Anolis sagrei: one gene and its partner. The protein of the gene in region 1 binds, or shares a complex with, the protein of each later gene. Links are inferred from orthologs where the notes say so. Each region holds a gene or a part of one and is shown in the gene's direction. Other genes may lie near its edges.

Region 1 (7,510 bases):
AGGCCTTGCAATGCTGGCCACTTCCACATGGCTTGCTGTGTAGAGCTCTCATTCTGCAAAGGGACTGTAAGGCTGGGGCCTTCTTGGCTCTTATATTCTAGAACAGTATGTACTGAAACAAATGGCAGGAAAAGGTAGAAGTGGGAGATGCCAGAAAATGTTGCTCTTAGTCTGTGTTCCAGTTCATATCCTCTAGGAAACTCCATTCCATTATACCTCCTCGCACAATTGGAGTCCAGTCGGATGGGGAAAATGTGAAGGCCAAATGAGGACTCCAGGAGGTGTAGGTTTGGCTCCCGAGCCTGAAATTCCCAACCCCTGCTATACATATGATTTGAAATTACAACTTCTTCTCCATTTGTGTGCAGATATGATGAGAATGATGCTGCTTTTATGATCCTCTTGCCGTCAGGCTACAATGTATGGGTTGATTTTGATATGACCTGTGGATAATTTGTGGGTCAAACCAAGGAGACAGAAAGCACCACTGTCACCTCATTCCAAACCACCACTGCCCTTTGGGAATCCAGGCAGGAAAAAGGCCAGAAGTGGTGCCATGGCCGTGAGAGTAGAAAGATGGGTGCTGCTTTTAGGTCAGTGGTTCCCAACCTTTAGTCCTCCAGGTGTTTTGGACTTCAACTTTCAGAAATCCCAGCTATTAGGAATTGTGGGAGCTTAAGTCCAAAACACCTGGAGGACCAAAGGTTGGGAAACATTGTTTTAAGTTCTTTTGGGATGGACTAATCTCTCTTCTTTGGCTATTCTACGCAGAGAGGGAGGTGGTTCCTTTTTTTTATGAGTTACTTACGGTACATTGACCTATGGAGAAGTCAGCCCAGTTTTGTGGGGGCTGTTTTTTTATATTTTTTTATTACAAAAGTGTATAAATTTATACTTGAGTATACATAGCACGGTTTCCAGGATTTTATTTGGTGCCATCTGTTGAACGTGATAGAATTATAAGCATGGGCTTTCACAAACATCATCATTTCTGTGTTGTCGAAGGCTTTCATGGTCGGAATTATTGGGCTGCTGAGAATTTTCTGGTCTGTATGGCTGTGTTCCAGAAGCATTATCTCCTGACGTTTTGCCCACATCTATGGCAGGCATCCTCAGAGATCATGAAGTTTGTTAGAAATTAGGCCGACTTTCCAACAGACCACACAACCTCTGAGGGTGCCTGTCATAGATGTGGGTGAAACGTCAGAAGATAATGCTTCTGGAACACAACCATACAGCCTGGAAAATTCACAGAAACCTATTAACATTTCTCTCCTGATTCTTTCTGGATGTTGTCATAATCACAAGCAGAAGCTAGAATTTTGACAGTCTTGTGGGTTATTCTGGATTCTTAATGAAAAAAGGAGAACACTTTTTTGGATCCTTCGACAATACTTATTTGGATCCTTTACTTTATTCTACACAATAGTACAATAGCTGAGTTTGAACAAAACAAAGTGTGTCCCTCACTTTTGTTGTAAGAACTGAAAGTACTAACTCAAAGGAGCAGCTAAGGAAACAGATTCTCCAAAGTAGATGCAATATTGATTACTGTGAATGTTCAGGTTGTGAGGCCTCTGAGGATGCCTGCCATAGATGTGGGAAAAATGTTTTGGGGGGTGGGTGGGGGCTTAGTCTGAGTGAGAGAGAATCTACTCTAGCCAACCTTTTATATCGTTATCCCAACACCCCCATGCATATGAGATATATTGAGGATAGTGCCGGCGCACTCCCCTTCCTCTCCCGGCACCGAAGGCTGAAATCAAAGGAAAGAGAGTGCGCTGATGGCCCAGGTGTGGACAAGGACGCCACCGTGCCACGTACCAGTAAGGCCTTCTCGTGGATCACCCTGAGAATTTCGGGGGGGGGGGGGGGGGGGGGACTGAAGCCCCTCAACCCCCCCCCCCCCCCGCTACATAAGGTTTTAAATTTTGTGTTATTGCTTATATGTGAGTTATATTAATTGTACTGTTTTATTGTTTGCTGCTTTGCTTTTACTGATGTGTTGTTGGGCTTGGTCTCACGTAAGCCGCCCTGAGTCCCCTTGGGGAGATGGTGGCGGGGTGTAAAGTTTTTATTATTATTATTACATGTGACTATGAACTTAAAATCAGTTCATGTGACTATGAACTTAAAATCAATGCTTCATCACGCTAGAGAATGAACCCACTTTAAATCTGGTTTCTGCCTCCTGCAGAATTCTGGGGTTTGTAGTTTAGTGAGGGGCCTTTCACAGCCTCACTAAGCTACAAATCCCAGGATTCTGCAGGAGGCAGAAACTGGATTTAAAGTGGGTTCATTCTCTAGAGTGATTATGTGGTTAAAACCATTGGGTCTACACTGACCACATGATGCAGTTCCAAACTGCATGATATGGCAGCGAAGATAGGACAACCAGTTGCATCCCTTATCGAGCTCTGGAGCTGCAGCTCTTTAATCAAGGCGAGGGAGGAGGGGGAGAAATCAGTTTTGAAAAAAAGCAAAACACAAACGACGATTGAGGATGTTTCCTTTTGTTTTTGCGAGCCAACCCCCTCCTTGCTTGAGAGTGTGCTTGGAAGGGGGCGGTGGATTGGGGCCAAATTTGGCGGGAGAGATCTCCCCCTTCTTCCTCTTCTTCCTTCTCCTCGTTGCCTTCCTTTCTGGCCCCAAAACACACCCTGCCTCTGAGCCGCGCCAAGCCCCGCCCCTGTGCCACGTGAGCAGGCCTCCTCGGCCAATCCGCGGCGGGGAAGCCCTCCCCGAGCCCCGCCCCTCTCCTTCCCTCGCCGGGGCTTCTCCGAGTGATTAATTTTTGTCATATGACTGTCACACGCGCGGGCGGGCGGGCGCCTTACACACACACACATACACACACACAGGGAGAGAGAGGCGGCGAGGGAGACAAGGCGGGCCGAATGGACTCGCCTTGGCGGAACTAGCTGCCTTTGCTGCTGCTGCTGGGAGGCAGGCGAGGGACCCTCCTCCTCCTCCTGCTTGCGCCCACCATGCCCCCCACGCCCACCCTGTTGCAGAAGCTTTTCAACAAGAGGAGCAGCGCCTCGCCTTCGCCCGCCAAGGAACCCAAGGAGGAGTGCGTCCTCAGGTAGGGAAAAGAGGAAGGGAGGGAGGGAGGGACCCCCAGGAGAGGGGCTTCCCACCTTGCCCCCCCCCCCCACCCCGCTTACTCTCTTTCTTCTTGGCCTCCTCAGTAAACACAATGCAGGAAGGGCCAGGAGGGCTCCCACATCGCAGAACTTCTTTTTGCATTGTCGAAAGCTTTCGTGGCCGGAATCACTGGGTAGCTGAGAGTTTCCTGGGCTGTATGGCCATGCCCCAGAAGCATTCTCTCCTGACGTTTCACCCGCATCTATGGCAGGCGTCCTCAGAAGTTGTGAGACCTCGCAACGTCTGAGGATGCCTGCCATAGAGGCAGGCGAAACGTCAGGAGAGAATGCTTCCGGAACATGGCCATACAGCCTGAAAAACTTAAGCAACCCACTTTTTGTGTGTGTGTGCTTCATTTGCAATACTGTGGCACAGGCATGGGCAAGCTGAGCTCCAGATGTTTTGAACTTCAGCTTCCACAATTCCTAACAGCCTGATACTCTATGAATACATTCAGTGGTCCTCAACCTGTGGGTCCCCAGGTGTTTTGGCCTACAACTCCCAGAAGTCCCAGCCAGTTTACTAGCTGTGAGGGTTTCTGGGAGTTGAAGGCCAAAACATCAGGGGCCCAACAGGTTGAGAACAACTGTACTAGGTATACTCTATACCAGGCATCCTCAAACTGCAGCCCTCCAGCTGTTTGGGACTTCAACTCCCAGAATTCCTGACAACTGAACAAGCTTGTTAGGGCTTCTGGGAGATGGAGCCCCAAGCAGCTGGAGGGCCACAGTTTGAGGATGCCTGCTCTATACATTCCATGTATCTATAGTATCATTCACAACCTCCCCAGTTCTGAGTATTGCCCTTCACTGGGTGCATCTACACTGTGGAATTAACCTAGTTTGGCACCACTTGGCTTCATCCTGTGGACTCCTTGGGGTGTATTATATTTTTATAAGACCTTGTGAGGAAAGCCACCACTCTCAGCACTGAGCTGTGGCAGTCCAAAGTGGTGCCCAAACTGCATTAATCCTACAGTGTAGGTGCAGCTCCCTCCCTTTCCAACTTCTAGAGCAGTGGCTCTCAACCCGGGGTCCCCAGATGTGTTTGGCCTACAACTCCCAGAAATCCCAGCTAGTTTACCAGCTGTTAGGATTTCTGGGAGTTGTAGGCCAAAAACATCTGGGGACCCCAGGTTGAGAACCACTGTAGAGGATCTCAAGTGGAAATCGCCAGGAGGAAGACCCCTAATAACAAGACAAAAGTTCTTTCTCCCACCCTGGATACTCCACAGATATATAAACCCCATTTTCCTAGTTTCCAGCAGACCTCACGACATCTGAGGATGCCTGCCATAGATGCAGGTGAGACGTCAGGAGAGAATGCTGCTGGAACATGGCCATACAGCCTGGAAACTCACAACAACCCAGCCCTAATAACTCTAAGGCTCACTTCCCCTGGCTTCCCCCTTCCTGCAACGTTGCTCCTTCCTGCCTCTTTCACTTTCTCAGTCCAGCCATACAGCCTTGCTTTCCTTCCTCCCTTCAACTCTAAAATTGTTCAGCTCCCTTTGAAACGTGGACATTCAGGGCTGGAGAGCAGTAGAGAAATTTCTTCATTACTGTGAAAGAGACAAAATCGAGCCATTTTCCTCCTTTTGGCCGATTTTTGAACTCTTCCTCTTTTCTCTTTCACTCTCCTCCCTCTTCCTCTCTTTCTCTCCTTTTGCAAACTTTCCTTGTTTGTGTGCATGCACACTGTAGAATGGATGCAGTTTGACTGCTTTCTGGTTTGGTGAGGCGTCGCTACCCTTAGACCCTTCCACACAGCTGAATAAAATCCCACATTTTCTGCCTATGGCAGTGTGGACTCAGTTAACCCAGCTCAAAGCAGATATTGTAGGATTTTCTGCCTTGATATTCTGGGTTAGAGGGCTGTCTGGAGGGTTTCTTTGTCAGATGGCCTTTCTGGTTTCTCCCTTTGTCAGAGAAGGCTAAACTAGCAAAGCTAGTAGCCATTAACCTGTTGTCAGATTGCATTGTTAGATGATGTACCCCTTGCTGCTGAGTTGGGAAGAAGGGGTGGAGTAGTCTTTTCCTTCTCTTTTGCCAGCCATGACTTTCCTTTTCTGCAGAAAGGGTTGGGGTGATCCGGGCAGTGATTTGGACCTCTCTCTCTGTGTTTATAAAAAATTGAAATGAAGGTTGACATTTCCCTTGGCCGCTTTCCTTGGAAGGGGAAGAGGATGGCAGTGTGCCTGGCCAGAGCCACCTTAAATCTGCAACTTGGGCCGCTGCCTCTTGCTTGACAGCGGATGAGGAGTGTAGGGTTACCAGAGAAATCAGTCAGGATCCTTCCACAACAGAGGAACCTTGCCTGGCTGGGCTTTTCTGGCTCTCCCTTTATCTTGCTGTTGTAACAACAACATCAACAGAAATGTGACTAGTGAGAGTCTTCTTGAACTCTCGAAATGATCATCTTACAATGTGTGTATATCTCTTTTGTGTACTGTTGGTATAATTTTGTCCTGAAGATGGAGGCCTAAATCCAGCTGCTTAAAGTTAGAAGTGTGGCTTTTAGAAGTTCTTGCTGGTTCAATAATGTTTGGGATTAGATTTCTGATCAAGGCTGCCTCTTCACTGTATCATAGAATCATAGAGTTGGAAGAGGCCTCATGGGCCATCCAGTCCAACCCCCTGCCAAATAGCAGGAAAATTGCATTCAAAGCACCCCCCACAGATGGCCACCCAGCCTCTGTTTAAAAGCCTCCAAAGAAGGAGCCTCCACCACACCCCGGGGCAGAGAGTTCCACTGCTGAACAGCTCTCACAGTCAGGAAGTTCTTTTTATTGTTCAGGTGGAATCTCCTTTTCTGTAGTTTGAAGCCATTGTTCCATGTCCTAGTCTCCAGGAAAGCAGAAAACAAGCTTGCTCCCTGCTCCCTATGACTTCCCCTCATTTATAAATGGCCATCATGTCTCCTCTCAGCCCTCTCTTTTTCAGGCTAACCATGCCCAGCTCTTTAAGCCACTCCTCATAGGGCTTGTTCTCCAGACCTTTGATCATTTTAGTCGTCCTCCTCTGGACACATTCCAGCTTGTCAACATCTCCCTTCAATTGTGCCTGGAATTGGAGACAGTATTCCAGATGTGGTCTAACTAAGGCAGAATAGAGGGGTAGCATGACTTCCCAGGATCTAGACACTATACTCCTATTTATGCAGTTTGACACTACTATTTATGTAGAAGTAATTCAGTTTGACACCACTTTAAGTAGCATGGCTGGATGCTATGGAATCACAGGAGTCGTCGTTTCATAGAGCCATTAACCTTCTCTGCCAAAGAGTGCTGATACCTTCCCAAATAACAATTCACAGGATCTCATAGCATTGATGCATGTTTAAAGTAGTGTCCAACTGCATTCATTCTACAGTAGTCATTAGCAAACTTTGACCCTCCAGATGTTTTGGACTTCAACTCCCACAATTCCTAACAGCCTCAGACCCCTTCCTTTTTCCTTTCCCTTTTCCCTTTCTTGCTTAAGTGGCTGAGGGGGGAAAGGAAAGGGTCTGGAGCTGTTAGGAATGGGAGTAGAAGTCCAAAACACCTGGAGGGCCCAAGTTGGCCCATACCTGGTATAGATGCACCCTAGAGTGCTGACCAAGGCTGAACTCTTCTAGAAGTCAAAGTGACTAAATGGAGGTTGTTTTACTTTGAACATATTATAAGATGATATGATTCATGAGAAAGGAGGCTAATGTTGGGGAAAGTGGAAGGTAGAAGGACAAGAGGAAGATCACATTATAGAAGGAAGCCAAAGCCCTGATTTTGCAGACATGAGTTAGGGCGACTCATAAAGGTCTCTCTCCTTCATGGGGTCACCATAAGTTGAAATGGCAGACAACAGCTTGGGAGTATTAGTTTGATTTAGACCAAGTTTTAGTCATGGCAAGAGCAATGGAAAGAACTCCACGTCCAATACAACTCTTGTATCCATTATATATTGTTCCACTTATTCACAGTTTCACTTTCTCGGTTATTTACTTTGAGCCGTGGTGTCCAATCTTTTGACTTCCCTGGGCCACATTGGAAGAAGAAGAATTGTCTTGGGCCAAACAGTGCCATAAAACTGAAGGCACACCTGAGTACAAAAAACGAGAGTGTGGCGTGCAGCAACACAATACTTAGTATAGAATACATACTTGGATTCTTATAATTCATTTTACAAGTCATTGCAATGGAGTCCTCTTGGTCTTATTTTATTAGTAAATTTTAACAGTTTTTCGTTTCTTCTGGCTGAACCATTTGCAATTAAAATTTGTTCACCAGTTGCGCCCATACCTTGGGAAGTCAGAGTTTGCCACAGTAGTCCACACTCTCGTCACATCTCAAATAGACTACTGCCACGTGCTCTACATGGGGTTG
Region 2 (7,510 bases), on another chromosome or scaffold:
GTGCCGAGTTGTGAGTTTTCCGGGCTGTATGGATATGTTCCAGAAGCATTCTGTCCTGACGTTTTGCCTGCATCTATGGCAGGCATCCTCAGAGGTTGTGAGGTCTGTTTGAAACTAGGAAAATGGGGTTTATATATCTGTGAAATGTCCAGAGTGGGAGAAAGAATTCTTGTCTGTTTGAAGTAGGTGTGAATGTTTTAATTCACAACAAAGGATTCCTCCAGGCAGTAAGAAGCCAGACCTTGAAACCGCTAGGCCATTAAATGTTAATTAAGGTAGCCAATTGAAAGTTTCACCTACCTCAAACAGACAAGAGTTCTTTCTCCCACCCTGGACATTCCACGGATATATAAACCCCATTTTCCTAATTTCCAACAGACCTCACAACCTCTGAGGATGCCTGCCATAAATACAGGCGAAACATCAGGAGAGAATGCTTCTGGAACATGGCCATACAGCCCGGAAAACTCACAACAACCCAGTGATTCCGGCCATGAAAATGAAAGCCTTTGACAATTCATTGAGCTTTTACGTTTTGAGGTGGGATTCTTTGAATCTGTAAGAACAAGTTGACTTTGGAAATTAGTTTCCTATGAGACAAGAAAGCCACCTTGTCATTATTTAATAAACATTTTTAAAATCCATTAGTGGCCCACAATTTAAAAACTTTAATGGTCTTTGATGGGGTTTTGTGGAAACATAACAGAGTTTCATCTTACTGAATATAGTTGATGGAGAAGCTGATCCATTAGACTGAAATGATTGGTGCAGTTCTTGATGTTTAGCCTATGTTTTCTCAATAAGATATATTCCAAAACTGTCTGCACTGTGAAGGAAGACTTTCTAGTTTTTACAAGAAAGGAATGTCCATGTGCAATGTGATTCCCAAGTACATTAAAATAAACAGAATCATTCCTGCACTTAATAAATTGTAAAAAAAAAAAATTATCAATGCCCTACAGACAAATGATGTTTTCAGAACAATTGCTGTCAATGGATGACTTTCTGATAGTGACTACTAATTTCTTGGGATTGCATGAAACATGTCAGACTCTACAAGCATAACTTGACATTGGCAATAATAAGAGTTATTTTTAAGCAAGTGCTTAGGAATTGAACTGTCATGTGTGTCTCATGACAGCTCTAGAAACTGGAAAGGGCTTCAGTGTTAGTTTTGGAAGGGCTGATAGGATGAGAGATCTATTTGTGAATCATGCTTTGCCAGTTTATAACAGACACCCTGCAATTGAAATTCTATGAAATTGAGACTGGCATCTTAACAAAAATATATGTTATTTAACTGTAGATGTAATGTTAGATTTTTAAAAATCTAATTTGTAATTTACCTAATGTAATATCAGACTTGTATCAAAATAAAATTATTTTCGGTGTGAATAAAACATTTTTATCTGATTCTCTAGTTCTGTCACAGGTACTTGAATATAAAAAAAGGAGACAATTTACAAAGAGTTTATTTGCATTCCTGTTGTGGTTCATCTTTTTCAACTACAATATGTGTTTGTGAATAGTCACAATTTTAATTACCACTCTTCATGAGTTTGATCTATTCTTTCTGCTCTACTAATCAAAAAGTCTCTTCTACTGCTGCAAGGAATTTGGATCCAGTGGAGCTTCTTGGTAGGCAAGGAACTGCCTGGACTCTCCAGCTTGAGTCCATCTACACCAGGAATGGCCACACTTGGGCCCTCCAGGTGTTTTGGACTTCAACTCCCACAATTCCGAACAGCATGACCCCTACCGGCTGTTTGGATCTGGAGCAAACTTGGCATGAATATTCAATATGCCCAAGTGTGAACATTGGTGGAGTTGGGGGGAAATAGACCTTGACATTTGGGAGTTGTAGATGCTGGGATTTATAGTTCACCTACAATCAAATAGCATTCTGAACTCCACCAACGACGGAATTGACCCAATCTTGGCACATAGAAAAATACTGGAAGGGTCTGGTGGACACTGACCTTGAGTTTGGGAGTTGTAGTTCACCTACATCCAGGGAGCACTGTGGACTCACACAATGATGGATCTGGAGCAAACTTGGCATGCATACTCAATATGCCCAGATGTGAACATTGGTGTAATTTGGGGAAAATAGACCTTGAAATTTGGGAGTTGGAGTTGCTGGGATTTATAGTTCACCTACAATCAAATAGCATTCTGAACTTCACCAAAGAAAGAATTGGGCCAAACTTCCCACACTTCTGATGGTCCTTGGCGACCTTGGCGAGGATTGAGAAACACTGCTCTAGGCGGCCAATCCTTTTATTGGACTTCATTTCCCAGAAGCCTCAGATGCTTTCACCAACGATGGAGAATTCTGGGAGCTGAAGTCCAAACACCTGGAAAGACCCCACGCTTAAGACAATCATGCAACCAACCTCTCTACAGGTGATCATAAGCCTAATTGACGCTTGGGAGACACTGAACTGAACCACGTGGCTCCTCCCTCCCTCCCAAGGCCTGGCCCTCTCTCACCGGAAGTTCCCCTGCTCCAAAGCGGAAGTGAGGGACAGGAAAAGGGAAGAGAAAGTCTCCAGTCACATGACAGCAGAGGCTTGAAGGGGATGCAGCTGCGGATCCAGGCAGGACTTCTCAGGCGGGGCGCCCGGGAAAGAAGGGAGGTTTGTAACCAGAGGAAGGCACCAAGGGGGTGAATGAGAGGGGAAGGTTGCCAAGGGGTTAAAGGCGTCTTGCTTCCATTGCAGCAGGCATACTATGTATCCCACTCTTTCCCTCCTTTCTATAGTGTCTAGATCCAGGGAAGTCATGCCACCCCCTCTATTCTGCCTTGGTTAAACCACACCTGGAATCCTGTGTCCAATTCTGGCCACCACATTGTTGAATCTAAGTTGGAATGTGTCCAGATTAGGGCGACTAAAATGATCAAGGGTCTGGAGAACAAGCCCTAAGAGGAGTGGCTTAAAGAGCTGGGCATGTTTAGCCTGAAGAAGAGAAGGCTGAGAGGAGACATGATAGCCATGTATAAATATGTGAGAGGAAGCCATAGGGAGGAAGAGCTGCCCTGGTGACTAGGATGCAGAACAATGGCTTCAAACTACAAGAAAGAAGATTCCACCTGAACATTAGAAAGAATTTCCTGACAGTGAGAGCTGTTCAGCAGTGGAACTCTCTGCTCCAGAGTGTGGTGGAGGCTCCTTCTTTGAAGGCTTTTAAACAGACGCTGGATGGCTATCTATCAGGGGTGCTTTGAATGTGATTTTCCTGCTTCTTGGCAGGGGGTTGGACTGGATGGCCCACGAGGTCTCTTCCAACTCAATGATTCTATGATTCTGGAGACCATCGGTTCATTAATGCTGTTGGACACCCCTTTAACTGCCATAGCTCAGTGCTATGGAATAATGGGAGTTGTAGTTTTATAAGGTCTGTAGCTTCCTTTGCCAAAGAACACCGGTGCCTCCCCCCAAAACTACATCTCCATGATTCCACAGCTAGCATTGAGCCATGGCCCTTAAAGTGGTGTCATAGAATCATAGAGTTGGAAGAGACCTCATGGGCCATCCAATCCACTCCCTTGCCAAGAAGCAGGAATATTGCATTCAAAGCACCTCTGACAGATGGCCATCTAGCCTCTGTTTAAACACCTCCAAAGAAGGAGCCTCCACCACACTCCGGGGCAGAGAGTTCCACTGCTGAACGGCTCTCACAAGCTTCCTCCCTCCTCCCTGTGACTTCCTCTCACATATTTATACATGGCTATCATATCTCCTCTCAGCCTTCTCTTCTTCAGGCTAAACATGCCCAAAACTAAGACAAGTCAAACCCCCATTTTGGACTTTAGGAGAGCTGATTTCCGAAAAATGAAGGAAACACTGAGCAGAATTCCGTGGACAGATACTAAAAGACAAAGGAGTGTCAAACTGCATTAATTCTATGGTGCAGATGCACCCCATATCTTCAGAGAAGGAGCACCCGAGATCCATGACAATCTGGGAAGTTTGCATTCTTTCACGATTTCTAATTAAAAGGGTTGCTTTTAATTTGGCTGCTTCCATAGGTCTTGATTGAGGGAAGTACAGTAGAGTCTTGCTTATCCAACTTTCGCTCATCCAACGTTCTATATTGTCCAACGCAGTTCGCCTCCTTCCTGGATCCACAGCTGTTTCTATACAGTGCGACGTTTTGGTGCTAAATTCGTAAATACAATAATTACTACATCACATTACCATGTATTGAACTGCTTTTTCTGTCCATTTGTTGTAAAACATGATGATTTGGCGCTTAGTTTGTAAAATCATAATGTAATTAATAAGTTTTTCCTTAATCCCTCCTTATTATCATACATTTCCCCTTATCCAACATTCTGCTGGCCCATTTATGTAGGATAAGCAAGACTGTACTATAATACAGGTTGAACATCAATCATAAAAAGACTAAAAGAGACTCCCAAGGGCCATTCAGTTCAATCCCATTCTGCCATGCAGGAAGATGCAGTCAAAGCACTGACAGATGGCTACTCAGCCTCTTTTTGGGCTCTTCCATGCAGCCATAAAACCCAGAATATCAAGGCAGAAAATCTCACCAAAGGATCCCCCAGGCATCAACCAACCAGATTTTGAAGCTGCAAGGCCATGAAATGCTAATCAAGGTGGCCAGTTGCAACATTCACACTTGCCTCAAACAGACAAGAGTTCTTTCTCCCACCTTAGACATTCACAGATATATAAACCTCACTTGCTTGGCCCCATGCTAGCCGCTCCGAGTCCCCATTGGGGAGATGGTGGCAGGGTATAAATAAAGTTTATTATTATTATTGCCTAGTTTCCAACAAACCTCACAACCTCTGAGGATGCCTGCCATAGATGTGGGCAAAACGTCAGGAGAGAACGCTTCTGGAACATGACCATACAGCTTGGAAAACTCACACCAACCCAGTGAAATCCATGAAATCCATCAAGAACACATTATATCCCACAATGTCTGCTTTGAACTTGATTATCTGAGGGTCCTTCCACACAGCCCTATATCCCAGAATATCAAGACTGCAAATCCTACATTATTTGAGTGTGGATTCAGATAACTCAGTTCAAAGCAGATACTGTGGGATTTTCTGCCTCAATATTCTGGGATATATGGCTGTGTGGAAGGGCACTAAATTCAACTAAAGTAGATCCTTTGAATGGGTTGTTGTAGGTTTTTCCGGGCTATATGGCCATGTTCTGGAGGCAATTTTTCTCCTGACGTTTCGCCTGCATCTATGATGCAAGCGAAACGTCAGGAGAGAAATTGCCTCCAGAACATGGCCATATATCCCGGAAAAACCTACAACAACCCAGTGATTCCGGCCATGAAAGCTTTCGACAATACATAGATCCTTTGAATCTCAGAGATTTACATATGTGTTGATGCATTCATCAGTTATTGATTTAGTGGGCAAAGGTGAGGCTTAGCAGTTAGAATTCAGGCAAACAGTCGCTTCCTTGTTTGTTGTTACAGCAACATATATCCAATCCCTAAATTCCATTCAAACCTTATCCCAAATATTGTGTACAGTGAAATGACATGAAACACCTTTGCAGTAAATAGTTAACCAGCTCTCCAATCCAATAAGCCTTTATTAGCATGTATAATAATACTGTATTTTAATACAGTATAAATTATAGAGTAGCTGTCATGGCAGCCATTATTATTATTATTATTATTATTATTATTATTGGAATATTATAGAGCTGCTACGGTATTAGCCAGTCCAAAATGGAAGCACAAAGTGTGATTGGTTTTGTGTGGGAAAACCAGCATTCTTTTTATGTGTTATTTGGAAACTCAACAGAAGCCAATACAATCTGTATTACAATATTCACATAACTGGTTATGACTTCTGCCATGATTTCCCCCATGTTCTGTGTGTTGCAACAGTGTGATGACAGCGTTGATTGCATAAGTTTACATGGTTATCATTCAAGGATATGACAGTGTGGAATAACATCTCATGATTTCCTGATACAGCTTATCAAATGTTAGCAGCAAAAAAGCAAAAAAGTGTTTGTGATGCTTCTTTTATCCATTGTTTTGTGTGATTATAAAGCAGTACACTGGCCAAGACAGCAATATCCCATAAGCAAGGGGTGGGAAAGTATGTTTTTTTAATAGTTTGTTGTCAAAAGTTTTAATGGCTGGAATCACTGGGTTGGTATGAGTTTTCTGGACTGTATGGCCATGTTCCAGAAGCATTCTCTCCAGGAGAAAATGCTTCTGGAACATGGCCACACAGCCTGGAAAACTCACAGCAACCCAGTTTCTTTATAGTTGTTGGACTGCAGCTTTCAGCATTCCTTATAATTTCCTTGCTGGCTAGGACAAATGGGAATAGCAATCCAACAATATATAAAGGGCGACAGGATCCCCAGCCTGGCACTATTCTGTGATTTGTAAGTTGAGGATTTCCAAATCAGATAGAATAGGAAATGTGTGACTCTCTGGATGTTATTGGATTGCAACTCCCATCAGCCGTATCCAGCATAGCCAGTGGTACAAAATACCAAGTTGGAATTCCCTTTAGTGGGACTGCCATTCAAAACAGATTTTCCTACTTTGCTTTATTATCTTGTCACAAAGTGTGTAATTTGGTTTTTTTTCTTTGTTTCCCTAGTGATTGGTACAGTTTATTGGATTGTAACATTTGGGATAACATGGCTGATGTAAGTATAAATATAACTTGAATGCATTTCTGCACTTACTACTCAAACAATCCCTTGACAGGAATTTGACTTTTCTACTATTGTACTGTTTGTAAAAGATCAAAATCATTCCATTCGCAGTGCAATTTATAGAGTCCTGGGGGGGTTTCAGGATGTATTTATGAGTATGGGTGGAAAGAGCTGCTTATTCTAGGCCATGTTTGGGCAACCTGTGGTTCTTGGCTGATATCAGAAGTTCTCAAGTGATTAAATCAGACCTCCTGCAAGAGCTAAAGCTTTGGAAAGTTTTGGAAAGTTGCTTTTAGGAGATACAACTACCACAATTTCTCAGCCAGCAGGGCCTTGCTGGCTGAGGTAATTTCTAAACCTGTAATTTTGAATTACACATTAATTAATTACATTAAAAATGATATTTTCAAAGAGGGCTGAAAGAGAGAGATCATGAGGGAAATGGTTCAGGTCTTAATTACAATGGCCTTCAATGGGTTATGCAGCCTTTGGCAAAAGAAAATATATTTTCATTCCTGTTCCAATGTTGTATTTTTTTATCATGTCAGGAGCAACCTGAGAAATTGCAAGTCGCTTCCGGTGTGAGAGAATTGGCCATCTGCAAGGATGTTACCCAGGAGAGGCCTGGATGTTTTATCCTATGGAAGGCTTCTCACAGTCCCTACATGAGAAGCTGGAGCTGACAGAGGGAGCTCCCCCGCTCCCCAGATTTGAACCGCTGACCTTTTGGTCAGCAATCCTGATAGCAAAATTTCACCACTTGGGGCTCCTGTTCCAAAGTTAATTTCTATTCCAAAAGAGAGTTAGGAATCTTTTCAAAGAATTAA

What was found.
Region 2: FNIP1 (region 1) and LAMTOR3 share a complex: the UniProt entries of both Homo sapiens proteins name them as parts of the lysosomal folliculin complex. The link is inferred for Anolis sagrei from reciprocal best matches to the Homo sapiens genes FNIP1 and LAMTOR3.

The regions. Positions count from the first base shown.
Region 1 is NC_090022.1:93,981,228-93,988,737, reverse strand, and holds the start of FNIP1 (folliculin-interacting protein 1), read left to right. Parts: upstream 1-2,796; 5' UTR 2,797-2,987; coding exon 2,988-3,085; intron 3,086-7,510. UniProt on the Homo sapiens protein: Binding partner of the GTPase-activating protein FLCN: involved in the cellular response to amino acid availability by regulating the non-canonical mTORC1 signaling cascade controlling the MiT/TFE factors TFEB and TFE3.
Region 2 is NC_090025.1:26,543,722-26,551,231, reverse strand, and holds the start of LAMTOR3 (ragulator complex protein LAMTOR3), read left to right. Parts: upstream 1-2,525; 5' UTR 2,526-2,639; intron 2,640-6,625; 5' UTR 6,626-6,665; coding exon 6,666-6,674; intron 6,675-7,510. UniProt on the Homo sapiens protein: As part of the Ragulator complex it is involved in amino acid sensing and activation of mTORC1, a signaling complex promoting cell growth in response to growth factors, energy levels, and amino acids.